Oryzias latipes: one gene and its partners. The main gene of each other region encodes a partner of the protein of the gene in region 6 in a complex. Links are inferred from orthologs where the notes say so. Each region holds a gene or a part of one and is shown on either strand. Other genes may lie near its edges.

Region 1 (4,252 bases), on a different chromosome or scaffold from region 6:
GTGAGTTAAACTGCTCTACTTTCAAAACCTAAGAGGCATTTCTTACCTAAAGCTATCATGAAGGGAGGGTAGAGCAGACACAGATCTGTCCTGTACGTGTCGTTCACTATTCGCCTGGTAAAGGCAGAAAACAATGCAAAGCCTTCCAGCGGAAAAATAAGCTAACATCAATGGGTTTTGTTCAAACGAGGCAGAACGTACCATGCTAAGGGCAGCAGCATGTCCTCCTGCCCCATGTCCTGCACATACTGCAGCAGAGGTCTGTAGGGGTGGTACACAATCAGGCAGCAGTCCTGAAAAATTAAGCCAATCAAGGATCAATTCTTCTCTCTATGAAACAACTCATCCTTTTTATCTAGATTTCCACCCACCATTAGCTCCAAAAGGTAAAACTCACATTCTAGAATCTGGGGGGAAAAAAAAGAGGTTTAGAATTATTTCAAAAAGACATTTAATCATGTTTTCACTTTGAAAATGCCCCCCAAAATTTGTGAATTCATTTTTATTTATTAAGTCTCGTCATCAGACTGGCCTTTGACCTCCTGCTGTACAGATGATGACTTTGTTTGCTTTTAACAGCTTCGCACTTCATCATTGTCACACTTTTACTAAGTGTCCAATGTCCACAAGATGAATGATGTTTACGAGTCACGGCCCTCTGCTACCTCAATCTCTGCCGTCTGAACCCCCCCCCCTCCGTAATTTATAGCTTATATAGCATTACGTCAGAGCCGTCTTGTTCTGGAAACTCTGGAGATCTGCGAGGCAAAAGCATTGAGCAGCAAGCCCCCTGACTGACTTTTTTTTTGTCAGCAGAGTGTGAACATTAGCTGAGGAATCTAACGCACTGATAGGCAGTAATGTGGCAACACTGTGATACAGTCTGAAGGCTTCTCGGTAAGCTGCAATGCAGCACATAAATAACTTTGCAGAGGAAGCAGTTTGATGTGACCTCACCTTCTTGAAACTTAAACCAGTAAACCTTGATGGCATTTACTGTTTACCGTCACATTTCTGCATCGTCAGATTTGTTCATGATTCTTAACTTTTTCATAAAATCACAGACGTAATCGGATTACTTCCACTGTGTTTTACTCACATGATTCATTCTGTAAGGAAACTCCTTTGGAAAGGCATAAGAAAATCTTGTTTTTACTACAAAAAAACAGAAGAAAAAAAATTTGTGTTGCTGGAAACTCCAAATGAAAACAGGGAAAACTTAAATTTGAGATCCACAATGTGGGTCACTTACATACAGAGGTGGCGGCTGAGATCAATCTGGTGTTGGACACGACTCCAAATTCCTACAGGAAAATAAGCAATACAAAACAGATTATCGTGTGTACTAAAGAAGCAGTTAAAGACCCTAAAATGTGTCTCACTTATGATTAAAAATGAAATGTAACATGAAATGTTAAAGATGATTCCACCAAATTTATACCTCAACTTTAGAGGCCAGGAACACACAAGTGGGAGCCATGAGCACCGGATCTATACTCTTCAGAGAATACCTGCAAAATGACACAAGGTATTTAAATATTAAACAAACAGATCATGGAAAGAAATGCTGACGACGTCAAAAAGTAAGAGTAGCCAAAGATAATCATGGCTACATGGGTAGTAAGCACAGTATAGTTAAGGGAAAGAATTTAAAACAAAAGAGGAAAGTTTTTTTTTTGTTTTTTTTGCCTTCCTAACTGTTATGCTAATGTCAGCAAAAGTAAACATTCCTTTGTTTACTCATTGATACATCATGTCGACAGCCTTTTGTTACAGGGTTCAATAAACCAGACCAACTTATCCGCTCCCGGACACAAAAGCTGTTGATGCTCTGCAGAAATGAAACTGTCATCAACACTGATGTAATCTCATTAGGGCTGCCCAATATGTTCACACTTTACCCTCCATGAGCTGTCAGCACAAACGTGTAAAATACCAACAGCTTAACTTATGGAAAAAGCGTTTCGAGCTCCTTACCGGGCGTAGAAGCGCTTAAAGTACACAGTCGCAGTAGCAATGACCTGCTGGCGCAGCTTCAGATGTTCGCCCAGAGCTTGGATAACTGAAAAATACCAAATGAAAAACATTAGTTGAAGTGTGTGATTTAGGTTTTGTTCGTGACTATTCAAGATTTTCTCATGTTTTCAAACAGACCCGGAAACAGACCCAAAACCTGCATGAATGTATTAGAAAAAAAACTCACCATTTGCAAAGAAAATCTGAAGCTTCCAGTACTCCTCCTCCGAGAGAAACTTCAGGTCTTTCTGGCGCTCCTTTATGAGGTCCTGTTTGTCCAAGACCCACTGCAGACTTTAAAAGATAAGCAAGATTACTTTATATGATAAATTTATACAGACGTTTGAACGGGTCAAATTCACTTGACTAACAGTAACAAGCTCCTGACGTGACGGCAACAAAACACAACGAAAACAAGAACCATTGCTGGAGCTCAAAGGAAAGAAAGTCCACATTTTTAGTTACAGTGTGTTCCCCAAGTGTTATTTTTACACCACAATGCTATAAGTAAACTGTTAGCTTCAACGCAGAACAAAAATAGCAGCTAGCTAGGCCTCACAAGCGAAGCGGCTGATGATTACGACAAAAACACACACAACGTCGATATTATTTTAACAAAAACTCACTAATGAGAACTCTGCCAAAAGTTACCCGCCATCACTGCAGTTGAGGTAGAAATTTACAGAAAGGAAAATTGTGTTTTTTTTAACCAACAAAAGAGCGGAGACAGCGAGAAAAGTAATTAAAGTGGCAGAGCTGGTGTATCACGAATAACGTTCCGACGAGCCCAAAGATTGGTTCCGCAGTCTCCTGTAAATGTCGGGAAACACGATTACTTCAAAGAGGGTATACTCACATGTTTTGCATGATTAAAACATTTATAAAACTAATTGTTTAAGATGCCATTTACCATGTTTAGACGTTTAAAGTAGATGTGATGAGGCTAGTATATGAGGTTTTCAAGCAACAGAAGGGAAAAAGGAAATAAAGAAAGTGGTCAAATAAACATAGCATCCTTTATTTCAAAGGGTTCATTGATTATCTCCTAAACTCAATTGAATATTAAAGCATTTGGGTAACTAGAGCTTTTATACCATATTTGTTTGTGGTTAAGTCAACTACAAGTTGTTTTTTTTTTTAATTATTTTATTTTGGCTATAGTTATTCTACATTGTGTAAAGGGTTATACCTAATATAGTCTATTAATATTAAAAAAACAAAAAGCAGCAATTAAGGACTTTTGACTTTTAGCGATTTAGCGATCAGCGATTGCAGACATCTTTTCTTTGGTCTAAACAAATTACGTAGCCCTATAGAAAAACAGGAAATTGTATTCTATTGTATTTATTTAATTTCAATTAGCCTTTCGTGAAGTCAGTGGTGTTCTGTTTTTTCAAATGTTTTACTTGTTTTTATTGTAATTAAGACAACTAAAAATCAGTTTGTATTGTTCATTTTGCTTGTACTTAACATTTGAAAGTAATGTTTAATTCAGCTTTTACTTCAAAATTAATTAAGTCCTTCATCATTCGAAGCACAATGTTCTTTCAACAGCCTATAGGCCAAATTATTTGGCTTGTTGTTGATAGATGCCTGTGCAGGCATTCATACTTGGTATGGAAGGGTTCAGCATTTCACTGTAGTGTTAGGGGAAGGGCCAAGAAGTGTATAAAGACCCCACCTCCTCAGACTGACAGAAGAAGCAAAGGCTCCATTTCCAGTTTCCAACTACAGTTGCATCAACTTAAAAGCCACCATGAGCCGAAGCCCGGAGAGGATGTCTTCATACCGCCGTTGTTTTGAGGACAACATTGCCTCAACATCCCACCTCCGGGTTTCCAGTCCTTCTCCCACCAGGAGAGAGAACCGCCACCGCTCAGCCAGCTTCAACCGAAGTGGCGGGTGGAAGTTGGGGGGGCATAGAGCACTCACCAAGCAAAAACTGACAAGGTAGGTCATCACCTCAGCCAGCTACACAAAAAGCCCACAACACAAAGCCACTTACACCATTATTTTTGGGCTCCTGCAGCAGTTCAAGTATGGGGGTCCTTTGTGTAGGTTCATCCCTGGAACCGGGGAATAAGATGGATCTGGATGTGGCTGCAGCACAAAACCAGGCCTTCAAGTTGACACGCACCAATGAGAAGCAGGAGATGGTTGTTCTCAATGATCGTCTGACAGTTTATATTGAAAAGGCAAGATACAAAGATTTACAAGTCGAATATGCAGCTTTTGC
Region 2 (4,148 bases), on a different chromosome or scaffold from region 6:
TTCTACCAAGGACTTAGCATCTGCCAGGACTTTCTCTAACGTACAGTTCATGTCTAAAGGGGAAAACATTAAAGTAAAATCGATGAGCAGGACATTTTTTAGAAAATATCAATCTGGTTTTAAAGAAATGTGAAAACTTAAGAAGAAAAAAAACATCGAGTTCAAGTCTGTAAGTAATATAACAAATTGGGCAATTTCCTTCATAAAACTGTTTTACTCTTTTGCTTTCTGTTTGTTCAGTTTTAGTGAGATAAAAACCTAATTACTGTGGTGAGTAATGAACATCTGGAAGTAAAGAGTAGTAGATCCCTGCATTTTTCATTTACTTACACATTAGCGTTAAGATACTCAGCGTCTTACAGATTTAAGATGGAAAGTTAAATGATAGAAAGTGATGTAAACAGTACAAAAAGCAGGGAAATTGGTTTTAAGCAGATTACTTTTTAGTTACAATACTTATCTTAAATCTTTGTTTAGAGTTTAAGGGAATACGTAGCTCCGTTTATGAAATGCACCCATCATGACTGGTTGAACATTCGCTGCTAAGCATCTAATTTTGCCAATGTCGTGTTTGGGTAATTCAGGTTTAAAAACACACTAAATATTTATTTTAGCAGAATTCGATGTATAACTTCTACATCAAGATTTCCTCCAGTAATAACGAGCAGGAGATGCTGCCCCATACCATCACACTGCCACCACCAAACAATGTAACTTTACCGGGTATGACCCTCCTGCTCACCCACTAAAGCAGGATGTTAACGAATGTGTCACAGTTTAAAAGGGGAAAAAAGAGGATGTCGAACTGCAGGAGATTTATGATCATGAAATATACTTTCTTATGACAAAAAAATTAAGCAAGCAGAAACAAACAGCTAATTATGTCTTTGCTTACGTAGTAGTAAAGTAGTTACAACTAACGAAGCTGCTCTCTAAATCCTGACAAATTTTCCAACAAAACATACAAACGTACCTCATAAACAGTGTACCAAAGCATGTAAAGGTGTCTTAATTTAACACTGAAGTGGTCTTACCTGAAGAGTTCAAAGTGCAACCAGAAAATAGATCTTCTTCCTGATATTTTATGTTGTAGCTCAGAATAGCAACATCATGCTTATGCTAACACGAATATCGGATTATACGTTAAACTTAAACTTTGTTTCTTTAAGACATAAAAAAATATACTAAAGTACAAAAAATGAATTTCGCAAAAGTCTCTATGGTATTCAAGTCTAAAATAACAGGTTTAAGGTTGTTGACGGGCTAACTTTCTTTAGCTATCTTGTCTTCCGAAATGACGTCAATTTCTGCGAGATTTTGTCAATGCTCTCGCGATAGTTGACGACGGACTTTTGTCAAATACAGGTAAATATGGCGGACCGGCTAACGCAACTACAAGATGCTGTCAACTCGGTAAAATAAAAATGTTAAATATTTGACAAAAATTGTGATATAGAAAGACTGTCACATATACATTTAAATATGAAATGTGCATTATATATAGGTTTTAATGGAAGTTGTTTCCTAATTTATTTACTGAGGGCGTAACATCACAGCAGCTAACAATGCTAATGCTAACTTAATAAATAGCATTACTTACTTGGTGTTTGCTGAAGCTGTTTGCCAAAATGCTGAAGTAGATTGGAATTAAAGTTGAAGACGCATGAAAGGAAGTGGAAATTATTTAAAAAGGTACCCAAACCAGGAAGTTACCCTATAAATTGTTCGTTTTGAGACTTATCCTAATCCTGCCGGTCAAAATATGCTGTCAAACAAAGTTAGAGTCCCATTTGTTCTTAGCATGCTAGCCATCCTTTAGTGTAGCTCTATCAGGAAACTCCTGAAAGCACTAAGCAGCTTGTTTGCTCATTTAGCTGGAATATTATAGGAATCATGATGTGTGGTGGTACAGGCCAACCGTTCTGTTATTGTTTAGGTCAGCCGGATGACATTTCTTACTAGCATATGGACTAAAGATATACATATGTATATAACATATGACAATATTGAACTTCAGGCACTCCAACCCCTACACTTAATCTTCATGACATTTCGAAATAAATGCCTGAAGGGCATAATACATATGATTACATGAAGAAGGAGCAAAAACCTAAAAATATTCTAACTTACAAGAAGTGTACTACTTCATAATTCTCTTTTCTCTATGAAAGATTTTAACCGTCTTAAATAAAACCAAAATCTTGCTGAAAATGCTTGAAATATTTGCATACAGCCAGATAAAGAATAATGGAAGACAATTATACCAAAAATGTTTTTAAAATGAAATGTTTAATATAATATCCATTCATTTCCAATGAGTAGAATTTCCTGCTGTGCTTTGTTATAATCCAAGCTTGATTGTTTTGACCTTTCTGTCTGTGTTTCAAACATAAAATGAATCTATTCGGGATGTGTGGTGCAGGTCGGCTTCAGCTCGGTCTGAACTGTGTGTTCTGCTTTTGCGTGGGCAGCTTGCAGATCAGTTTTGTAACGCCATCGGTGTTTTGCAACAATTTGCTCCCCCTGCGTCCTTCAGCAACATCCAGACCGCTATCAACAAGGACCAGCCGGCCAACCCCACTGAAGGTTAGTCTGACGCCGACTGTCTCTAAAGACCCACTGGGTCGCCGCCTGCTCTTCACCTTCAGTCCTCGGTTTACAGTTTCAATTCTGAATTTTCACTTTCGGAGTACAGCCTCATTTTACGTTGGGGTGGGCCTTCGATGCCGTTGGATATTGGGACATGATTGATATCAGGGGCTAGACGGGTCATTCTCTGAATTCGGTGCACATTGGTAATTGAAAATCTTACCTAAAAAATGTGTGTTTCTTAACATTACATCAGATTAAGGACTATTTAAACCTCTGAGAAAAGATGTTTTCCCACTTTAGACATGAAATCCCCCAAATTGTTAGAAAGTTTGTCACTGTGACAGTGTGTTTTGTTACGGAGTAGAATATTACGAGGTTGAAGTTGTCACGTGTCTACATTAGCTAGGATATGAAGCTACATATGGCATGAGGAAAACAAGAATTTAATACATATTTCAAAGCAATCGTTAGCTTTTTCCCAAACAATAGTAAATATCATTTATTAATTTAACAGAGTTGAAAGGTTGAGCTTGACAAAGTCAATCTGACAACAGAAACTATGAAATATGGGTAAGAAAGGAGGCTAATACTTACCTGTCTTCAGAGTATGAGCAGGAAAATATTCAGTGATGTCACTTCCTGGCTGCTGAAGAAGTTGGACTGAACTATTATTTTTTTTTAAAGGGGGATTGATAGGCTGTTACGGGTTGAACAAAACTGAGGGACAGGAATAAACGGTGAAATTTCATAAAGATTCATTTATTTTTGTCATACTTCTTTTATTTAAGTGAAACTAAATAGGCATATGTTTATGTTAGCAGAAAAAGCATGTAGTTAGTGGCTGTTTTTATCAGTTTTGCATTAGCTGAAAAGGTAACTTTGGCTTCGTTCATACTGCAGGCTGAAACGACCCAATTCTGATTTTCTTCCCCCATGCGACCTGTATCTGATCTTTTCATGACAGTCTGAACGACACAGATCCCATCTTTTCAAATGTGAACCAGGCCACTTGGGTATGTGGTCCTGAATCCAATACGTATCCGATCTTTTCAAATGCGACCTCCGTCTGAACGGCCAGGCCACATGAATCCGACCCGTACCTCATTGATACGTTCTCAAACGTCATAATTCTGCGTTGAAGTAGGCGGAACCAGAAGATAAACATCAACCATGGCGGACGATGCTGCTGAGACCAGTCAGTGGAAGGGAAGCGAGGTCACCGATTGGATTCATATTTGGGGTGACAGCTCCATTCAGGCCAAACTCCAGGGCTCTTATCGCAACCGGGCAGTTTTTGAAAATATTTCCAGCAAAATGGCCGAGCGTGGTGTTGAACCTTTCCCACCTGACTTTTTTTTCTTTCCGACTGTGGTCGGAAGCAGGGGGGGGGGATCTTCTCCAGGGCTGAAGGAAGATCCTCCTCCGGAATTAACTTCCCCGTTCGGACCCTCAGATTCTCCAGAGCGGGTTAATAAAGAGTCAATTATAGCATTTATTCTGGGGGAAGCCTTCTTTTATTATCGTTCTCCTTCCTCTGTAACACACAACATGAATGC
Region 3 (4,010 bases), on a different chromosome or scaffold from region 6:
GGCTGCAGCCAACACCAGCTTCCATTAGGCCAACGGGTCACTACATCCTGGACAGGTCACAGTGCAGGCCACCTCAGAACCAACGACAAAAGTAAACAAACAGCCACACATACCCACACTGTATCAGTATAAGTGTGTCGATCATAAATGTGCCAAGCTTGTAATCCTTTGAAAAATGTAACTGATATTTCTTTTTTGTTGAACCTTAGGGGGGAAGACAGTAACCTGATAAAACAGTCCATACTCGTGCAAGGCGTCACTATTATCCAAGTTGGTATAAGCTTTGGAATACTATACAAATGACCCAACTGTTCTTATCTGTGAGTATTACCTTTGCAAAGTGAGCAATGAATATATCATTTTGTTTTGTAGTGTTCCTGCACCCAGTTTCACTGAAGCTGTTTTGAATAGCAGATAGTAGATCAGATTCAAATGTTATCAAAACAGACATGTTGTGACATATGTTTTTATGATCTGGGATCTTCTGGAGAAAAAAAAAAAAAAAGGTTGGACTTAGGGCAGAATTTGGCCAGCCAACCCACGAGGAATAAGTAGAATATCGGGGCAAGTCTGTGTGGAAATCATGCTATCATCACATCGGTTCAACTATCCATATATATATAGACTATTTTGATCTATTTCATACGGTTTTTGTTGAAGTTCTTCTCACAGGACCTTCTGCATTTGCTTGGCTTAGGCCTGGCACAAGTCTGTCTATTTGACCATCTTTCTGTACATCCACCCTTGTGTTTTATTGTCTTTTATTTTATTTAGATAGATTTTTTGTCTGTTTTGTGTGGGTTTTTTTGTAAATTTTATTTGTTATTATATGATATTCTTAAATATATAATATTTCTTGATATACATACATTTATACATACATCTTTCTGGGGGGGACAGTAACTCCGTTTAGGGGGGGCATTAACCCCCTTCCCCCGTCCATACCTATGTCCGGGCTTGGATGGACTCATCTTAGATAAGAGGGGAGGCAGTTAAAAAGTCTATCTGTTAAGCTAATAGCGCAGCTGTAACACGTGTGACCAGGTTAAAACAACAGAAGATAAAAAGAAGGAAGGAGTTGAAGGGATTTTTTGGCGAGAAGCTGCGCATTTCTGTGAATGTGTTTGGATTTCTGAAGTTCTCAGCGAGCCTCACATCTGTGTTTGTCGTGTCGCTGCGGGCCTGTGCGCGTTGGTGGGAGTACCCCCTGCGCAGGTCCCCTTCGCTGTGCACTTCCAGCAGTTGGAGTTGTTCTACACCCGAGAGAGGGGGAGGCAGCAGAGGAGTGAGCGCAGCAGCTGAGTGAGCAAACACAAGTAGAAACATTAGGTTATCTTCTGACACTATCAGCCATCGACCTGTCACTTTTATCGCTCCGTGAAGCTCCAGAGCGGTAGCGGCGGCGGCTCCTTGGTCTGGTTTGTTCTGCTCGAGCAGTGAGACAAACTCCCGAACGCGGTCGTCTCAGCTGGCATGAGCTAACCTACGAGTCCGACATGGAAACCAAACCGTTCCTGTCATTGGGTAAGTTACTTTGTTTCTTACAGACCTACTTAATGCCGAAGAAAAGACAGCGAGAAACGTGCTGGGGCTCAGGGTTTTCGCTTCGTGGTTTCTTTCTTTCTTTTTTTCTTGACAGCGCGTGGAGCGACTTGCCAAACCCCATCAACACGTTTGTTGCTGCCGCTGCTGCTTTGTGTAATTTGCCCTCTCTTTAACTTCTAATTTATCCCTTTATCGAAACGGACAGATGTGCGGGTCTCGTGCTTTTTAATTGAGCTGGTGACATTTCACTTCGACGCGGAGTGACAGCGCTCGCGGCGTGGCGCGCGCGCACCTCGCGGCTCGTTTAACTTTTACACTTTGGTTAAGTGTTGAGAGATTTTGTGTTTTAATGCTAAAAAAACAAAACAAAAAAACCTCGAAGCTAAACTTAATTTTCTTGTGCCTGTTTATACCAACCGAACTTCTAAGAACAAAGGGAGATTAACTTTACATCGTGACTTTAAAATGTTTCCTCTTGAGGATATGTGATTTTTTTACATTAAACATACAACAAAATTACAAGCCTTTTTTATTTGATATCATTTTTGTTATTGATAATTTTAACTTCATTTCTTTTTTATTTATTATTTGCTTACTTGGCATATAATAATTTGTCAATATTGCACAAACTTGTAAATTGCACCCAAAAGTGACCTCATGCGTTGTTGCTTGACTTAAAGTCTGCTGTTGGGGATAATCTCACTTCAGTTGCTGACAGGTGACCTATGGTCATTGCGCAAGACTTTCATTTTTGATTTTCTTTTTACATTTAAATATATTAATGAATTAATCTTAAGGAAACCCACTGTTTTGTTGAAGCTGAACCTGCAAGAAGGGGGGATTTCAATTGTCAAATTGGAGATTTTTAGCATGCTTTTTGATTTTTCTGAGTTACAAAATTCTTTTTTATTAGATATGTATTACTTCTTATAACTCATTTCTGGGATTAATTCTGAAATCTAGTCTTGTTGAAGTTAAAAGCAGTTTAAATACACTAAAGCACTTCAAACTGTAAATCATTAATGCTGACTGCTACTGTAAGTTTGTGAACAGAGCAGACCCTTGTCCTCCGCAGCAGAGACAAGCGCAGGGCTGTAGGTTTCCCCCCGCCTTATTGTGTCTGCGGCTCTTTCATGGAGGCGTCATGTTACACCTCGACACATATCATCAGCTGCATGAACACACCGAGGAGATTCACAGGGACTTCTGAGACTCGGGGTGGCTGTCTTAGGTTACAGGCGCTGCTCGCTGACTCAGTCCCACAACACCCTTTATGTGGCTTCACAGAAATACACTCAACCACCTGCACTGCACACACTGACAGGCTGTTGTTACAGGTGCAACACATTGTATTTCAGACTGCGCACATTAGGGGTGTATCAACTTAATCGATGAATCAATCCTACGATCCAACCAGATCAATCTTTTTGAAGGAAGTCGTTAGTTGTATCGACCTTTACCCTCATACTGTAATTTTTAAAGACAAAAATCGATTATATCGATATTGGAAAATACCATTTCGATTGAGACATGGTAGGTTTATTTTACTACAACGTAAAAACGACCGAATGCATCAGAGCAGACAATGCACACGTGATGGCAGCAAAAACTTGTCAAGCCATCGTTACAGTCCAATGTGTGGAAACACTTTGAATTTAGCAAAGACATGTGACATAACATTGTGGTTTAATGCTCTAATAATGTTCCCTTTGGACTATTTTAATGTGGTAAAACAGCAGTGGGCTCAACTTAATTAAATTAAACTGTGAATGGATTTGACATTGATTCTTGTTTACTTGATTGTTTGTACACATATTTAATTTACACTTGATTATCTTGCATGTAATATAAGGAATCTAGAAAACTTCACCTGGACTGTTCAGTACCCGTATTTATCTCAGAGTCCTACTGGTTGAAGTTCTGACGGAAAATGTTCTGGATTGATTTCAGATCAGTGAATTGGACTGTTTAAAATGAACCAGTATCGACTATGAATTGAAACTGCAACAACAAATTACGATATAGATCAAATTGTTTTTAAAATGAATTTTTACACCCCTAATATTTAAACTTGTACCCTTAAAGGACAGTTTGAGTGGCAGGCTCTAATTGGTTGTTTTAAGGGCGCAGCCATGCGTGAAGACCTTGAATTTATTGATTACTGCTTACTCAGTGTCATTTCCTAATGTGGCGTTGCATTAGGAATTCTGACATGGATCTGTTTGAGATGACATTACAACTATAGACCGCGTGCTGGCTTTGATGACGACACCTCCCATCCAGCACCGCTGGCTCAGGACTGTGTACTGCCTGCCTGATGCCATCATCGAGCACCCCCCCCCCTTTCATATCGGACATTAAGGCATGAAGACCAGAGGAATGACACTGAAAGGAGAATGTGTCCTTTAGTCACAGCATTATGGGGAGGATCATGACAGTTTGTCAGTGAAATGAACAGTGTGAAA
Region 4 (4,013 bases), on a different chromosome or scaffold from region 6:
TTCGCTTTTTAAAGGATAAGTTAGCCCTGAAAGTAATACCTACGTTACAATAATACTTGAAACTTGTTGATTGCCAGCATAAAGCGGTGCTGAAACACACCACAGTACCAAACCTTCCTGAGCTTTTAGTTAAACACAACTGTATTGGGGTTTGGCTACAAAAATGACCAAAAAATCAATGAAGAAAAACCATGACAATGAAAATTTTGGATAGTATGTTGCATGTTGTGCATGTTTATGCACACAAACACATCCTAGTAATTTCACTATATCTCAATGCCACACATAAATTGGTCACTACACATGAAATTCTTCTTTAGAGGAATAAGAATTGCTGTAAACTTAAAAGTTGAGCCTCACAGTCCAAAATCTCTTAATCATCCAGACAAGATTATAGTGAATTCCTTTAATTTCTCGACCTGACTCAAGTTAATATTAAACTTTTAGGGACAGAATTGTTTAGACTGGTAAATGTAGCACCTCTAAAAAGCTGGAGTGCCTCGTTTTCTGCCTCTATTTTAAATGACAGTTTTGCTAAATCGACAACAGTTCCCCTGTGGCCTGACAGGGTTAGGGGGTCGCTGGGTAACTTTTACTGTTGTGTTGGTGAATCTCAGGGCTAAGCTAACAGCTAGCATGCTAAGGGACTGCCATGACTAACCGAGGCTAAGCTAATGGAGGTGTAGCTCGCCGTGTAGCTCTATCTATTCTCCAGAGGCACGCGCCTCTCTGTCAGGGTCAGTGGCGGTTCTACCCTGAATTACTCCCCGGGCGAGACCCTCCCCAGGCGCCCCCCCCCCCCCCCCCCCCCCCCCCCATGGTCAAAACAGAACTATGTCTTTGTCAACTAACATGTTTTCCGACATGCTCATGTTTTCCGTCTTCAATCCTTTGATTGGCACATTTTTAGTTATGACCTGTTACATTATGTTTTGTCCCCATAGAGTTGCAGTAAATGGTAAATATTCATTTTTAAAACTACCTACAGATTTATGGAAATTCTATTGGCTAAAAATATAACCCAACATTTGTAAAACAAATAAAAAATAAACTTCATATGCTGGCTCAAAATTAACCCCTAAATCCCCAGTTAAATGTCAAAAACACATTGTGAAAACGTTTAGGCTGCCACAAATGATTATTAAATTAATGACCAATCTCAAATTATTTGCCCCATTAGCATCTTATGGCAGCAGCAGCATGCTGTGTAACCATCACAGCTTTTTTAACATTATGAACTAGTATACAACAGCAAAACACAACAAAACCGTTGTGTTACAGCACAGCAGACAGACACATGAATCATAACTAATGTTACAAGTTAAGGCAGAGCAAATTTTTAAGAATAAAATCTAAAAAATCAATAAAAAATGACGCTATTTGCAACATTTGGGCTTGATAGAACGGGCTTGATGCATGTTTTAGAAAAAACATGCATCAAGCTTTGAGGGCTTCCCCTTTTCTTTATCTCTTTTCTCCTCTTCTTCTTTTCTTTTCTTTCTAAATTGGGCACCAGATGGCTTTGACCTTTTCTTCTCCATATTTTAGATGTTTTTGGCGATTGTTTGGCATAAATGTCCTCACGTCACGAAGAAGGCATCAAGTCCGTCGACTGAACCAACTGTCACCTTAGTGACAGCATTGTTTTGTGTTGCCATTTTTTCATTTGGGCATTTCACATAAAATTAACCCAAAAAAGAAGAATATATTTTTTATACCTTTATTAAAATGTAGGTTATAGAATGTCACCTTATGACTGACTTATAAAAAGGTTTTATAAAGTAGATTCAAACCCCCGCCCTTGTCCCCACCTAGCCTCTTAATTTGGAAGCGTCCCACAATTGAACTGATTCCCCGCAGCCCCCCCCCCCCCCTTTCTTCACACATTTTCAGCAGGAGCGCGTGCAGCTACAGCCAGGGGCGCTGATTCGCTACATTACTTTTATTTTTTTTATCAAGCCCGCGACCGTCGCCTCCTCTGAAAGATGAGCCAGCCAGGGTTTGCGCATGCGCAAACGCGGCGGCGCTCCGTGCTCACCCCGCGCCCCTTCCCTTCTCCTTCTTCACACACATTTGTGTCTACTTCTCAAAGACAGGAGAGCGCAGCTGCGGGGCGGCGGCGCGGCCAGGTTCAGGCTGTTACAAACTCACAAACTGTGACATAAGAAAACCAATAGTGGTGCATATAATATTTTACAAGGGCTGAGCTGCCGGTGCCGCCCCCTTCAGTTTTCCGCCCCAGGCCACCGCCCGGACGGCCCGTGCCTAGAACCGCTACTGGTCAGGGTTTTTGAAAAGTCATCTTCAACTATACTGTGACAGAAACGTTTTCCTTCAAAGTAGCACAACACGTCAAGCGTAAGCAGACGTGTTAACGTACGGAGCGTGTAGGTAAACAAGCTAACACTGGCCGGGTAGCCTGTTAGCAGGAGGAGCACTCACATTGCTCTGACTGTCGATGGCCTGGAGCAGCCGGTCCCTTATCTGCTGCGGGGTTGTGGATACCGTGGTCATTGCCTGTTTGATGCGATCCGGATGATGGAGGGAGGAATCCTCCAAAATGAAAACCGGATGACAACGATGACTTCTTGACTGCTTCACGAACACGATATGCACCCGAACCGCATGTTTCCCGGAGCTTGGAAGGTAAAAGGTTCGCTTTCCTCACATGGAGCTGGAAATGTGTGAGCGGGTTTGACCGTTTGTTCCAGTCTGACAACGGGCTCCCACAGCTCACTCCGAGGTGCTGGATCTCTCTTGGCCTCCTGTTGCATGCTGGGATACGATGCCTGCGTCATGACGTAGGCACGCGACAGAGGACACAGAGTTGACAGTTTCTCTCCACAGAGTTTTTTTTATATAACTGAAATGTTGCCTGTTCCTTAAATAAATAAAAATTATATATATCGGTCCTGCACTTAACCAACATGTGTGTGTAAATATACATAGATGAAGGAGCGATAGCTGTGTCCTAGATTTTTTATTTTTCCATATATAACACAGAATCATTTGTTTTATAATTTTGAACCAACCGTCGGGAGGTGGCAGGGGCATATTTTGGAAAATATACAGCAGTTTTGGTAAAATGTTCATTTTGTAGACATTAGATCAGTGATGTAGGAAGCTGCATTCATCTATTAATACTGTCATTTATTTCTTTTGTTATGGAATCATTATTGTTTTGAACTGTTAGTGCTATGTTTGGAAAAATGTTTATACCTAAATATTTAAATGAGTGGACTGATTTAAAATGCATTATTACTGCTGGTGGCCTTTCTCTTTGATTCTCGTTCAGCAGTAAAATGGACGATTTAGATTTATTTATGGTGTAGCTGGATATGTAACCACACTCTTCAATTAATTGCAGACGAGCAGATATAGATGAGTCTAAGTTGGAGAGATGTAAAATAATCTATACCAATCTACCTAGGCTGTGTCCCACCAAAGTGGGGTAGCCTTGACAGGGCACCCATTCTTACCGCCCTCCTTCTCTTCCCCAAACCCTCCTCCTTCAGTGTGTGCGTGTGTGCGCGTGTGTGTGTATGTGACCGGTCTAAGGCCTGGTCTAAGCCACACCACACTGCACCAGGGTCAGCTGCACAGCCCAGTGTGGGCACCTCCACAGCAGGGCCTCAGCCGAGGCTGGTTTCCCCTTGCCGCTTCATCCCAAGACCAGACCTCTACCACACCCATCCATTCATTCATACACAAACTCTCTCCACCCATCCCTGTCCTGAGCAGCCTCTCTCCCATGCACCACAGTCATCCCTCTTGCATTCAGCGCTCTTTTTACACCCTCTGTCCATCCCATTCGCGGTCTTCCTCTCATTCTCACTCCACTCACATCAGATTCGTACACATGTAAAATAATATCAATATAAAACAATATCAATGACAATCTATGTTCTACGTGATTAATCGTAATACCAGAGATGGTTGGATGAGCACGTACTGCTATGGCAAGTGGCTCTATTGCTAGAGTGAACAGCAGAGGTGACAAAGGGCATCCCTGC
Region 5 (3,500 bases), on a different chromosome or scaffold from region 6:
CGCCGCTTCAGCAACAGCAATCGGCCAACCAGCCCACGGCGCCATCAGGGCAGCCCAACATGGTAAAAGAGGATAAACCAGTGTCCCAGTGAGGTGGTTGTGACTCCCCCATTGGTGTCAGTCGTTCTCATTAGTATCGGCTGCTCAGTCAGCTCTTATGTGCTGATCTGCAGAGGCATCCAAACAAGACGGGAGCGTTGGCTTCTTCCACCCAGATCAGATTTGACTTTTAAAAGAAAATGAAAATATTTGATAAAATTGTCGGAAAGTTATTATTTTCTGACCGTTTGATGTTTTCCTGTGGAATTAAATTCCCAAACTTCTTTTTTTTTTTTAAGGCTGCCGGTCAAGGAAATGCAAATTCCATTGTACAGCCCTCCAGTGTGGCAAACAAAGTCGTGGCGTGGACCGGCGTCCTGGAGTGGCAAGAGGTAAAAAACATAACATCACACAGAGGAAATTCAGTTTGTTTATCATTTTGCAGGAAAAATACTTTTTAACCTGTTCCCAGGTAAATAAAGATGTGTCAGCATAAATATTTGTACGCCTAAAAGAAAAGTCTTTGCATGTTGGATTGTGCAAAGTAAATGAGTCCTGAAAGGTTTTAAGTTGTTTTTATTTTGTGAAGACACGCCTCTAAAGCTTAAGGTTAAATAACCATCAGAATGATGAGCAAAGATGTGACTTTATGGCACCTAAATGAATTCATGCTGTTTATCTCCTTTTTGACTCACAGTCCAAATATGGAACTGCAGAAGACGAGTCTTTAATCCTGGCAACTTCCTGTTCAGCTTTTTGTGATCTTGTTTGAACTTAAGTTGGGTTTTCTGGTCTTAGCCGCTCGCTGCGGTTCCTAACCTGCTCCTGTCTTTGCCTTTGGAGATCAAAAGTGTCTTTAGAAGTCAGGATGCCCATGACCTCTGACCTCAGACCAAATCGATGGTTGTGGGTAGGGAGGGGTGTGACGATAACCGCATCACCGCGATGATCATCTTATCACCTCATTTCTATGTTGTTTTTTTTAAGTTCTACACATGGTGCGTGATTTAAACTACAAAAAACACATTCATCTTTGCTAAAATTTACTTTTTCTGCGAGTCCTGTGTTCAAACGTCAAAGGCTCCTGGGGGAATTTCCCTTGTATTCATTTCCATTACAAGCTGCGTGCGTTCTTGGATGCGCGATGCCCGCTGTAGGATTTTGTGTTTGGCGTGGGGGTGGGGGGTCGCAAGAGTCCAGACACCGCGACTATTGGTGCTTTATCACCGCGGCGATCAAAATTCCCACACCGTCACAGCTCTAGCTGTGGGTACAAATCATCGACATAGCTTCCGGCTCCCACCAAATAAAGTCAATTCAGCTGCCATGTTGGAGCCAGATAACGTCAGTGAGCAGAGATTGGTCAGTCAGTCTGAGTCGGCATCTGATTGGTCAGTTTATTCTTTAAATAACCTGCAATAAAAAAATATCATAAAAAATGTATTAGGATTATCAAGAACATGTTGAGAAACTGTATCAGAGCATTCTGACTAATATGATGACTAAGTAATAGCTGTTTATTTCTGAATGGAAGGCTGTGAGATTTTAGCTTCTTGGAACCACTTCCTGTTTCAACACCGGGGGGAGGAGTCATTCAGTCCATTGGGGGAGGAGTCCCTCAGTCCAGTGGTCAATGGTTAATGGTGCAGTCAATGGTACGAATGGAGGTAGACGTTACATTATGTGTGAAACGGTTTGAGCGCTTCTGCCAGCAGAAACGCAAAGGGTTTCTGCAGCATGTTTGCTGGATGACATTTTTGGGTTCCAAGTAGAGGTTTTTAGGTCATTTTTTCTTCTTTTTAGACAAAATTCTCCTCAAATTTTGGAGCCTAAGCTTTTTCCTTTTGCTTAATTGCCTTTCCGGTTCTTTTCCTGCAGAGCCCCATCAAGGTCATAAGTCTTAATAACCACCCGAGATGGATTTCCCTACACTTTGATTCATTGCTCGTCACCGCTCGTATTGGTTTAGCATGAGGTCAAGTCAATGGAGTTTACAGTTGCAGCGCTGAACCCAGAAAATGGATGTTGATGGCTTTTATGCGACACTCATGAGGTCTTCATGCTTTTGTATGGTGGCCAAGGATGGATCAATTCTCCTCATCAGCAGCAGCCTGATCCTCCTCATCTGTTTGTCAGAATTATTGAAGTCAGGTAAATGAATTGGACTAAGAATGAGTAGCCCTGGACGAGCTCCATCTGTGGAAAGACGCAAACAACCGTGGCGCATGAGGAGCGTGAGCCATCGCTCCTGATCTGCCACTTCTTCCTGCATTTAGCTCATCATCTTCCTGCATTTAGCTTCTGGACGTGATTATTTGCTGGAGCTATTGGTGATGTTGGAAAGGCTTGAAATGGAGAATCTGAAACTCATCTGGAGAACATAGTAGTTGGTTAAACCAGAGATGCCAGCATGCTGGGAGTTTCCACAGACTGCAGTCGTGTCTAAAGTATGTTGAAAGTTTTTTTCTTAATCTGTCAAGCTTTCCGGTTGGGTTTTAGTCAGCACCTGTTTGTTGTTTTCTTTCTTTCATCTTCTAATAAATGCCCCGTGTGTCTTTGTTGGAATAAATGTTGATGGAGGTCTCTGGTAAAAGACTGACCAGAGCTGCGATCAGCTGCAGGTCTCTCAGCGTGACTTGAAGCCTCCGTTTCTTTTTTTTTTCTTTGCTTCTGCTACTAAATCTTTTGGTGTAAACATTACTGTCGTCCTCGTTTGGGCCTCAGGAACGTTTTTAATGTTCACTTCTTCTGCTTTTTCTTCCCACAGAAACCCAAAGCCTCGTCTATGGATTCAGCCACCAAACTGACCCGCTCCCTGCCCTGTCAGGTCCACGTTAACCAAGGAGAAAATCTGTGAGCAGCAAAGCAGAAACACCACGACTCCATCTGTGGCTTGTTGCTGCTGACATGTTTCTCTCTCAACAGCAACACAGAACAGTGGCCACAGAAGCTCATCATGCAGCTGATCCCACAGCAGTTACTCGTGAGTTCGCCGTTTGGTGGTGTCTGCAGTCTCAGCCTCGCTCTCAGCTTCATCGTCTGCTTCTGTCTTTCTGCAGACCACCTTAGGTCCCCTGTTCAGAAACTCCCGAATGGTTCAGTTCCTCTTCACAAACAAAGACCTGGACTCGCTGAGAGGCCTCTATCGCATTATGGCAAACGGTTTTGTACGTCTTCAGAGCCTCTTCTCCATCTCTTTTCCATTTTGTATTCGTGGTCTCAGTTTATCCGTTTTACAGAACCTTCATGCAGCTTTTGAATGATAACATGTATTCTGTTAGAATTCACTCAAAAGGTTTTGCATTTTTTTGAAATGTTGTTAGAGAAATGCATTTAATTGAGAGCGTTTCTTTTCCTTTTTTATGATTTAAAGAAGTGAGGCTGTTAAGGATCCTTTTCTAGGAGTGTTAATCCTGTTTCTGTCCACAAGGTGGACTGAACACAAAACCTTGTCGTGTTGA
Region 6 (3,500 bases):
TAGAAAGGACTGAGGAAGGTAGACAGGAGTACAAGGAAGCGCAGCGTAAAGTGAAGAGAGAGGTGGCAAAGGCCAAACAGAAAGCTTACGATGAGCTATATGACAGGTTAGACACAAAGGAAGGAGAGAAGGACTTGTACAGGCTGGCCAGACAGAGAGACAGAGATGGGAAGGACGTGCAACAGATAAGGGTGATTAAGGACAGAGATGGAAAGGTGCTAACAACCCAAGAGAGTGTACAGAAAAGATGGAAGGAGTATTTTGAGGAGCTGATGAACGAGGAAAATGACAGGGAAAGAAGGGAGGAAGATGTGGTTGTTGTGGAGCAGGAAGTAGCAGAGATTGGAAAGGATGAGGTTAGGAAGGCTCTGAAAAGGATGAAGAGCGGAAAGGCCGTTGGTCCTGATGACGTACCTGTGGAGGTATGGAAGTGCCTAGGAGAGACAGCAGTGGAATTTCTAACAAGGTTGTTCAATAGGATTTTAGAGAGTGAGAAGATGCCTGAGGAATGGAGGAGAAGCGTTCTGGTCCCAATCTTTAAGAACAAGGGTGACACGCAGAACTGCAGCAACTATAGAGGAATAAAGTTGATGAGCCACACAATGAAGCTGTGGGAAAGAGTAGTGGAAGCCAGGCTTAGGAAGAAGGTGGAGATTTGTGAGCAGCAGTATGGTTTCATGCCCCGTAAGAGCACCACTGATGCCATTTTTGCTTTGAGAATGTTGATGGAAAAGTACAGAGAAGGTCAGAAGGAGCTGCATTGTGTGTTCGTAGATTTAGAGAAGGCGTATGACAGGGTGCCGAGGGAGGAGCTGTGGTACTGTATGAGGTCGTCTGGAGTGGCAGAGAAATATGTTAGAGTAGTTCAGGACATGTATGAGAGAAGTATGACGGTGGTGAGATGTGCTGTAGGTCAGACAGAGGAGTTCAAGGTGGAGGTGGGACTACACCAAGGATCAGCTTTGAGTCCTTTTTTGTTTGCTATGCTGATGGACAGGCTGACAGACGAGGTAAGACAGGAATCTCCCTGGACAATGATGTTTGCGGATGACATTGTAATTTGCAGTGAGAGTAGAGAGCAGGTGGAGGAACAGCTAGAGAGGTGGAGGTTTGCTCTGGAAAGAAGAGGTATGAAGGTCAGTCGTAGTAAGACAGAATACATGTGTCTGAACGAGAGGGATCAAGGTAGAAGTGTTAGGTTACAGGGGGCTGAGGTGAAGAAGGTGCAGGAGTTTAAGTACTTGGGGTCAACAGTTCAGTGTGATGGGGATTGTGGAAAAGAGGTGAAGAGGCGAGTGCAGGCAGGTTGGAGCGGTTGGAGGAAAGTGTCAGGAGTGTTGTGTGACAGAAGAGTGCCAGCAAGACTCAAAGGAAAGGTGTACAAGACAGTGGTGAGACCAGCTCTGCTCTATGGGTTAGAGACGGTAGCAGTGAGACAGAGACAAGAGGCTGAGATGGAGGTAGCGGAGATGAAGATGTTGAGGTTCTCCTTAGGAGTGACCAGGTTAGACAGGATAAGGAACGAGTACATCAGAGGGACGGCTCATGTTGCCTGTGTTAGCGACAAAGTCAGAGAAGCCAGACTGAGATGGTTTGGACATGTTCAGAGGAGGGATAGTGGATATATTGGTAGAAGGATGTTGGAGATGGAGCTGCCTGGCAGGAGGGCAAGAGGACGGCCAAAGAGGAGATACATGGATGTCTTAACAGAGGACATGAAGTTGGCTAATGTTAGGGTAGAAGATGTCCATGATAGAGTGAGGTGGAAAAGGATGATTCGCTGTGGCGACCCCTGATGGGAAAAGCCGAAAGAGAAAGAAGAAGAAGAGTATATTTGTAAGAAATTAGGTTATCTAGTAAGAAAACGAAAACACCATTATGATCCTCATAGTTAGTAGTAGAAAAAATCACGTACCTCTCTCAGGAGCGCCGAATATGTTGAAACTGACTTTATGTCCAGTAGGAAGAAAAATAGTCGTCATTTCCGTTGTGCTGAGGAGGTTAATATTGATATGCTGCGGCTAATGCCGTCGCGCTGTGGTTAATGCCGTTGTGCTTCGGGTAATGCCGTTGTGCTTCGGGGAATGCCGTTGTGCTTCGGGTAATGCCGTTGTGCTTCGGGTAATGCCGTTGTGCTTCGGGGAATGCCGTTGTGCTTCGGGTAATGCCGTTGTGCTTCGGGTAATGCCGTTGTGCTTCGGGTAATGCCGTTGTGCTTCGGGGAACGCCGTTGTGCTTCGGGTAATGTCGTTGCGTTGTCTTTTTTGTATGTAGTGTGAGCTCTGTCGGCCACCGTAGGTTTATATTATTAAAGCTTTTCACAAATGCTCATAGTTTCTTTGGTTACATAAAGAACAGACGCTTTAAATATTTCTCCCTTAGAAAGCAACGTGTCATTTTAAAATGTCATTACTTTTAGCTGAGCCTAAACAAAACAAACTGCTGACCTAAGATTTCAGTAGATGCTCTTCTTTGTATGTAAATATACTGACATTTTTTAGAGGTGATAAATTGGGAAATTACTTTTGACTATTTTTTAGTTGCATTCTACAGCAATAAAATATTTGTTATAACTAAGGGTTTAAGCCTTTGTTTAAAGAAGGTATATAGTGATACTACCTGACTATTAACTGCCTAAAAAAATACAACTCAACCTTTTTATGAAAGTAATCAGGTTATGTTGTCCTTTATAAGATATATAATCAAAGTTTTGTATTTTTTAATCTGTTTTTTTTTTTAGGAAAAAAATAAATCCAATGTGTAAAGGAAAAACAGGTCAGTCATTATAGGCTTAACTGTATTCTGTTTCTGTCTTTTAGAGGCAGAAAAGCAGAGTCGAACGGTTGCTCTGTTAGAGAGACTTCATGCTAAACACAATGCTTCCCGACCATGGCAGGAAACATGCAAAGTTGTGCGTCAGGCTATGGTAAGACAGATATTCTATTATTTTCCAATTTTCCCACAATATTATACATACTATAAAAATATTTCTAGATTACTGCACATGCTCAGAGTGCAGTAAAAGTTCATTTACAGCCTGTTAGTGTTCTTAGTTAAGTATGTAATAACAAGCACAAAACAGCTTAAAGAAGTTATTTCTTTACTGACCTCCCTTGGTGACATTTAAATGTCAGACCAAGAGTGCTGGCTACGCAAATTAAAAGCAAGCCCGATTTGGTTGTATAAAGCATAATCATTAATTTCAACATTTTATTCTTTTTTTTCCTCTCCTTACTCGTGTTGTGCCTCAGGAGAAACGCGGTGTGATGAATGCGGCAGGTCACCAGCTCCTGCTTAACTGTTTGGAGACCCTGCAGAGAGCACTAAAAGGTGAGGGTCCCGTCCCACAGTGCAAAAAGAAAAAGAATGAATAGCTAACGTCGCAATTCTTTCATAATGATTGTTTTGTCTCTTAATCGGTAAAGCCGTGAAGGCTTCAGACAATTACTTTTTCACTTCAGCTTTATATTTTCCTCCAATTATTTAACTTACGGGTGAAA
Region 7 (4,085 bases), on a different chromosome or scaffold from region 6:
TTGTTTTTGCAGAAGATCTACAGTTAAAGACCAAACACCATGCCAAAAGTGTGTACCTGTGTGTGTGTGTGTGTGGGGGGGGGGGGGTCTTTTAAAAAGTGACTTCTTTCTGAATCACCTTATTTTCAGACCAGCCTTGTCTTTGTGAACATTAGGTTTCAAATGAGAAACAACTACACAGATATGCTGACCTGAAGATTATTCACAACCACAAAAACAGAAGTATTTTTTTAAAAAACGTTTTAAATTAAAAAAAAAAAACAGTAATGAAGCCTCTAAAATTTTTAAAAGCTTTCACTTGGATATTTTGGGGGAAATGTTCATTCTTGAAGACAAACATATATGGTTCAAATTCCTATGAAGTCAGTATGCAGTTTTCAGATGCAATGGCAAAAATGCATTTCATTTCCATCTTTGAATCCCTCTTATTTTGACAATCAGGAAGTGGCCTGGTTGCAAAAAAGCTTCACTATTATCTCACTGTTGGCAGCCTCAACAAAACAAACTTGCTTTGGATGTGTGTGTTCATGCTGAGTCAAAGTCAGAGAAACTTAGACTACCAAATAGTTCCTTAGCACAGCTATAGTGCACTGCTACCCAGGGGATGGGTCAATGCACACAAATAATGAGATTTTATCCTGAATTTAACATTAACACTTTGACCCATAACAAAATAATAATAAAATAAATAAAAAATCAGGAAGTCAGAGTAATCTTAGTATTAATAAACATTGTTGCAATATGTTGCCTAGTTTTGTCTTTGCTTTTTGTATTGTATCAGAACAACTTTTATCATGGAAAATACATTCTTAAAAAAATGTATGCAAAGAGATAAATAGGCAAATAAACGTACTACATATTTAGTTCAAGAGAAAAAGTTGCTTTTAAATCGTTTACGTAAATTACTAATTACTAAAATATTGTAATAATTCCTTTTTTTTACCCTGTAGACATTTTACATCCTTTATGCACTAAAATAACTGCAGCTTGTCCAGTATTTTTAAAATAGTAATCATTGTTTAGATCATTTTGCAAAAACTTTAGAACACAGACTGAAATAACTTTTGCAAAATTTGGCTGTTTTCATCAACATTTTACATCTGTTTATTTAGTAATTTAAGTAAAACAATTTACAAAAAATATTATTACTTTTCTATGAATTATTATTATCCGTGGTTCCAAAAATAATTTAAGATTTTCCTCCTTGGAATAGGCAAAACGTACTTTTTAGCATGATATTCCTTTTGCCACCACTAGGTGACAGTAACTTACAATTTGAGGTAAAGTCTTTATTACGTCATATCCTTTCTGCTTTAGAAACAGGTATGGCGGCGGCAGCAGAGAAGTCAACAAAAGAGCGGCTACTTTCTGTGTTGGATGATTTGGAGGTGTTATCGCGGTAAAGGAAACAGCTCATATTTTGTTTTCCGTGTTGTAGTTAGGTAGCGACACAGTAGGCGGGTTTACGGCTTGGTCTGCACAGTCCTGATTCGAGTCCAGAAGTCCAGTGGAGAGTAAAGGCTCATGAGGCTTAGTTCACGCTTTGAAATTAAAGCCCCCCCCCCGGGGGGGCTTTAAATGGCCTCCGTTGTGCCGCGTACTCCACAGCTCCTCGTGCTGAATCCTCCATGTCTGCTCTTCTGTTTCAGGGAGCTGATCGAGATGCTGGCTCTGGCCAGAAACCAGAAAGTTCCTCAGCCAGGAGAGGACACACAGGTGAAGGACACAACTTTTTTATTCTAGTTCAACACTCCAAAAGAGCCACTCCAAAGAAAATTGTGTTTTTAAAATGTTCTTGTGGCATTTTAAAGATGGTAAAAGACATTTACAAAAAAAAGTATGCTTAAATTGTATTTCTGATTATTTCTTTAGTTAAATAGTTGTCATCAGGAGCAGATCATCTAAAAACATGAAAACAACAGGCTTGGCCTCAGCCATCAGGGCGGCCTCTCTCTTGATATTCCAGCATTTATTTGGATATGGCCATGTTTAAAAAAAATGAAGAAAAAAAACATTTCATGTTTTGGGTTTGAGCTGTGCAGCACTGTCACCTCTAGCCATTTGAAATGATGCTGGTCTCCATGGAAGCAAAGGCCACAGTCGACGTCTGATCAGTGCTGCTTCTTGTGTTTATTGGAGAGCCTGTTTTGTCTTCAGATCCTGGAGCTTCTGGTGCAGAGGGACAAGGAATTCCAAGAGCTGATGGAGGTGGCCCAGCAGCAGGGAAAGATTCATCAGGAGATGCAACTGTTGGAAAAGGAAGTGGAGAAGAGAGACAGTGACATCCAGCAGCTGCAGAAACAGCTGAAGGAGGCAGAGCACATCCTGGTGGGTTGAGGTTGTGTGTATTTTTGCTTCATCTGATACTGCTGTAAGGTGATGTAGTTACATTCACAGGTGCATTAGCAGAAATCCTCATTCTTCTAGCACATAGGCAGATTAAGCCAGTCTAATGCATTCTCCATATAGGCTGCTGTAAGCAGATCTATGGCTGTGCTGGCTTTAGCATTTGTTGAGTAAAAGTATAAAAACTCTAAAAGGCTAAATATCTTTTGCTGTAAAAAATTAACTCAATGTGTTGTAAATCTGGCAGTTTACTACAACTGTAAAAAAAAAAAAAAAAACCTGTGACAAATAATTTTTTTTGTAACATATATGTTGAGAGCTAAGTCAATTAAATAATATAGTTCAAAGTAATCTAAAGATTGCTTAGTCATCTGGGTCATTACAAATTTCACCACTGTCTGAAAGTGTAACAGTTTAAAGCAGTGCTTTTCAAATAGTGGGGTGCGCCCCCCCGATGCGATGCCGGGGGGGGGGGCGCGCTATAGTGGCGGTTTTAGGCACAGGTTATACAGACAATTGTCCGGTGCTCATATTTAACGTGGGGGCGGTGATGACAGCGGCTCAGTGCTTGGGGAAAAAATCTGCGCCTCTATTCGGTTCCTATTGTCTGTAAAATCACAGAGTTTGTGACAACCTGAAACCTGTGAATTCCTGTCCCTGTAGCTGCGCGCTCCCGTCTCCTGTCACACGCGGCTGCGTGTGTGAGAACGAAAGGGGAGGGGTAGTGGGCTCAGTCTGCCAGGTGAAACGGGGCACGCGGAGAACTGCAAGCCCTGTTGCCCAACACTAGGATCATCCCATGCCTTTTGAGGACTCAGCTAATGCTAATAATGTCATTCTTTATCAACTATTGTAGACATTTTGATGATGCTTCTTTTCCAGCACCTAAAACAGAAAGGTGTAGGAATGACGGGGTCACTGGATCCAGATCTAAGATCACACTTGGAAAGCAGCTTCTGTCAATCTAAACTGACTTTTTCTCCTTCAAGGCCACTGCAGTTTACCAGGCCAAGGAGAAACTTGCTTCCATTGAAAAGGCTAAGAAAGGTGAGCAAACACACTTGTCTTTCAGTCTGTGGATTTGGATGTATCATTTTGTGTCTGGTAACATCCAGATACTCAAGCAGCTGTGTGACTTCAGCGTTGACACTCAAAGATTTTAGTTTAAGGTTTTCGTTAAAGAATTCATTCCTTCTTCCATTTTAGGTAGCATCTTCATCTCTGCCAAAAAAAATAATTACTCTCTTGTGCCATCTTTTTGTATCGACTCAAGATTTGGCATAAAAAAACATTGGTTCTCATTAAATGACCTATATCATGCAAAATCAATTTTATTTTTAGCTTTTTATGTATTATATTTGTTAATTCCTCTTGAAAAACGACCCCAGAAGAGTATTTTGATCCTTTAATGCATTTCTGAGTTTTCCTCTAAAAACCTGCTCTCTGAGCACCAGCCCCTCCCAATCCCCAAAAACAGGCGGGTTTTCATATTGCAACAAAAATGAGCTGCTAAGAAAACCGGTATTTCATTTAAAAATTGATGGGGCGGCAGGTGCTTATGCAGGTGCTTAGGCAGTTTAGCAGATCGTCCAATGGTCGAAGAGTCGGCGGTTTGATCCCTGGTCCCACCACTCAACTGTCGTTGTGTCCTTGGGCAAGACACTTCACCCTCCTTGCCTCCAGTGCAGCTCCACTGCTGTGTGAATGTGTATGAATGTCCTGGTGATGGTCAGAGGGAC

What was found.
Region 1: med1 (region 6) and ccnc share a complex: the UniProt entries of both Homo sapiens proteins name them as parts of the mediator complex. The link is inferred for Oryzias latipes from reciprocal best matches to the Homo sapiens genes MED1 and CCNC.
Region 2: med1 (region 6) and med21 share a complex: the UniProt entries of both Homo sapiens proteins name them as parts of the mediator complex. The link is inferred for Oryzias latipes from reciprocal best matches to the Homo sapiens genes MED1 and MED21.
Region 3: the proteins of med1 (region 6) and rxra are in contact, whole or in part, in a crystal structure (PDB 1XDK), measured with the Mus musculus proteins. The link is inferred for Oryzias latipes from reciprocal best matches to the Homo sapiens genes MED1 and RXRA. Residues at the interface, in NP_001073587.1 of Mus musculus: Asn641, His642, Pro643, Met644, Leu645, Met646, Leu648, Leu649, Lys650, Asp651; in NP_035435.1 of Mus musculus: Phe282, Val285, Lys289, Phe294, Leu299, Gln302, Val303, Leu306, Arg307, Thr454, Phe455, Glu458, Met459, Glu461, Ala462, Pro463.
Region 4: med1 (region 6) and mediator of RNA polymerase II transcription subunit 26 share a complex: the UniProt entries of both Homo sapiens proteins name them as parts of the mediator complex. The link is inferred for Oryzias latipes from reciprocal best matches to the Homo sapiens genes MED1 and MED26.
Region 5: med1 (region 6) and med25 share a complex: the UniProt entries of both Homo sapiens proteins name them as parts of the mediator complex. The link is inferred for Oryzias latipes from reciprocal best matches to the Homo sapiens genes MED1 and MED25.
Region 7: med1 (region 6) and med4 share a complex: the UniProt entries of both Homo sapiens proteins name them as parts of the mediator complex. The link is inferred for Oryzias latipes from reciprocal best matches to the Homo sapiens genes MED1 and MED4.

The regions. Positions count from the first base shown.
Region 1 is NC_019882.2:15,128,172-15,132,423, forward strand, and holds the start of ccnc (cyclin-C), read right to left. Parts: upstream 2,801-4,252; 5' UTR 2,675-2,800; coding exon 2,643-2,674; intron 2,311-2,642; coding exon 2,204-2,310; intron 2,063-2,203; coding exon 1,978-2,062; intron 1,512-1,977; coding exon 1,442-1,511; intron 1,305-1,441; coding exon 1,253-1,304; intron 1,156-1,252; coding exon 1,100-1,155; intron 408-1,099; coding exon 372-407; intron 294-371; coding exon 202-293; intron 115-201; coding exon 47-114; intron 1-46. Other genes in the region: glial fibrillary acidic protein, read left to right, coding at 3,773-3,966, 4,046-4,211. UniProt on the Homo sapiens protein: Component of the Mediator complex, a coactivator involved in regulated gene transcription of nearly all RNA polymerase II-dependent genes.
Region 2 is NC_019881.2:3,908,951-3,913,098, reverse strand, and holds the start of med21 (mediator of RNA polymerase II transcription subunit 21), read left to right. Parts: upstream 1-1,348; 5' UTR 1,349-1,371; coding exon 1,372-1,413; intron 1,414-2,471; coding exon 2,472-2,586; intron 2,587-4,148. Other genes in the region: fgfr1op2 (FGFR1 oncogene partner 2), read right to left, coding at 1-51. UniProt on the Homo sapiens protein: Component of the Mediator complex, a coactivator involved in the regulated transcription of nearly all RNA polymerase II-dependent genes.
Region 3 is NC_019870.2:22,893,963-22,897,972, forward strand, and holds the start of rxra (retinoic acid receptor RXR-alpha), read left to right. Parts: upstream 1-1,210; 5' UTR 1,211-1,496; coding exon 1,497-1,524; intron 1,525-4,010. UniProt on the Homo sapiens protein: Receptor for retinoic acid that acts as a transcription factor.
Region 4 is NC_019875.2:6,542,674-6,546,686, reverse strand, and holds the start of mediator of RNA polymerase II transcription subunit 26, read right to left. Parts: upstream 2,801-4,013; 5' UTR 2,515-2,800; coding exon 2,443-2,514; intron 1-2,442. UniProt on the Homo sapiens protein: Component of the Mediator complex, a coactivator involved in the regulated transcription of nearly all RNA polymerase II-dependent genes.
Region 5 is NC_019866.2:3,598,346-3,601,845, reverse strand, and holds part of med25 (mediator of RNA polymerase II transcription subunit 25), read left to right. Parts: coding exon 1-62; intron 63-338; coding exon 339-431; intron 432-2,806; coding exon 2,807-2,892; intron 2,893-2,964; coding exon 2,965-3,022; intron 3,023-3,098; coding exon 3,099-3,206; intron 3,207-3,500. UniProt on the Homo sapiens protein: Component of the Mediator complex, a coactivator involved in the regulated transcription of nearly all RNA polymerase II-dependent genes.
Region 6 is NC_019877.2:9,657,436-9,660,935, reverse strand, and holds part of med1 (mediator of RNA polymerase II transcription subunit 1), read left to right. Parts: intron 1-1,915; exon of another isoform or gene 1,916-2,084; intron 2,085-2,819; coding exon 2,820-2,926; intron 2,927-3,251; coding exon 3,252-3,330; intron 3,331-3,500. UniProt on the Homo sapiens protein: Component of the Mediator complex, a coactivator involved in the regulated transcription of nearly all RNA polymerase II-dependent genes.
Region 7 is NC_019879.2:14,006,626-14,010,710, reverse strand, and holds the start of med4 (mediator of RNA polymerase II transcription subunit 4), read left to right. Parts: upstream 1-1,285; 5' UTR 1,286-1,325; coding exon 1,326-1,399; intron 1,400-1,649; coding exon 1,650-1,716; intron 1,717-2,157; coding exon 2,158-2,328; intron 2,329-3,335; coding exon 3,336-3,393; intron 3,394-4,085. UniProt on the Homo sapiens protein: Component of the Mediator complex, a coactivator involved in the regulated transcription of nearly all RNA polymerase II-dependent genes.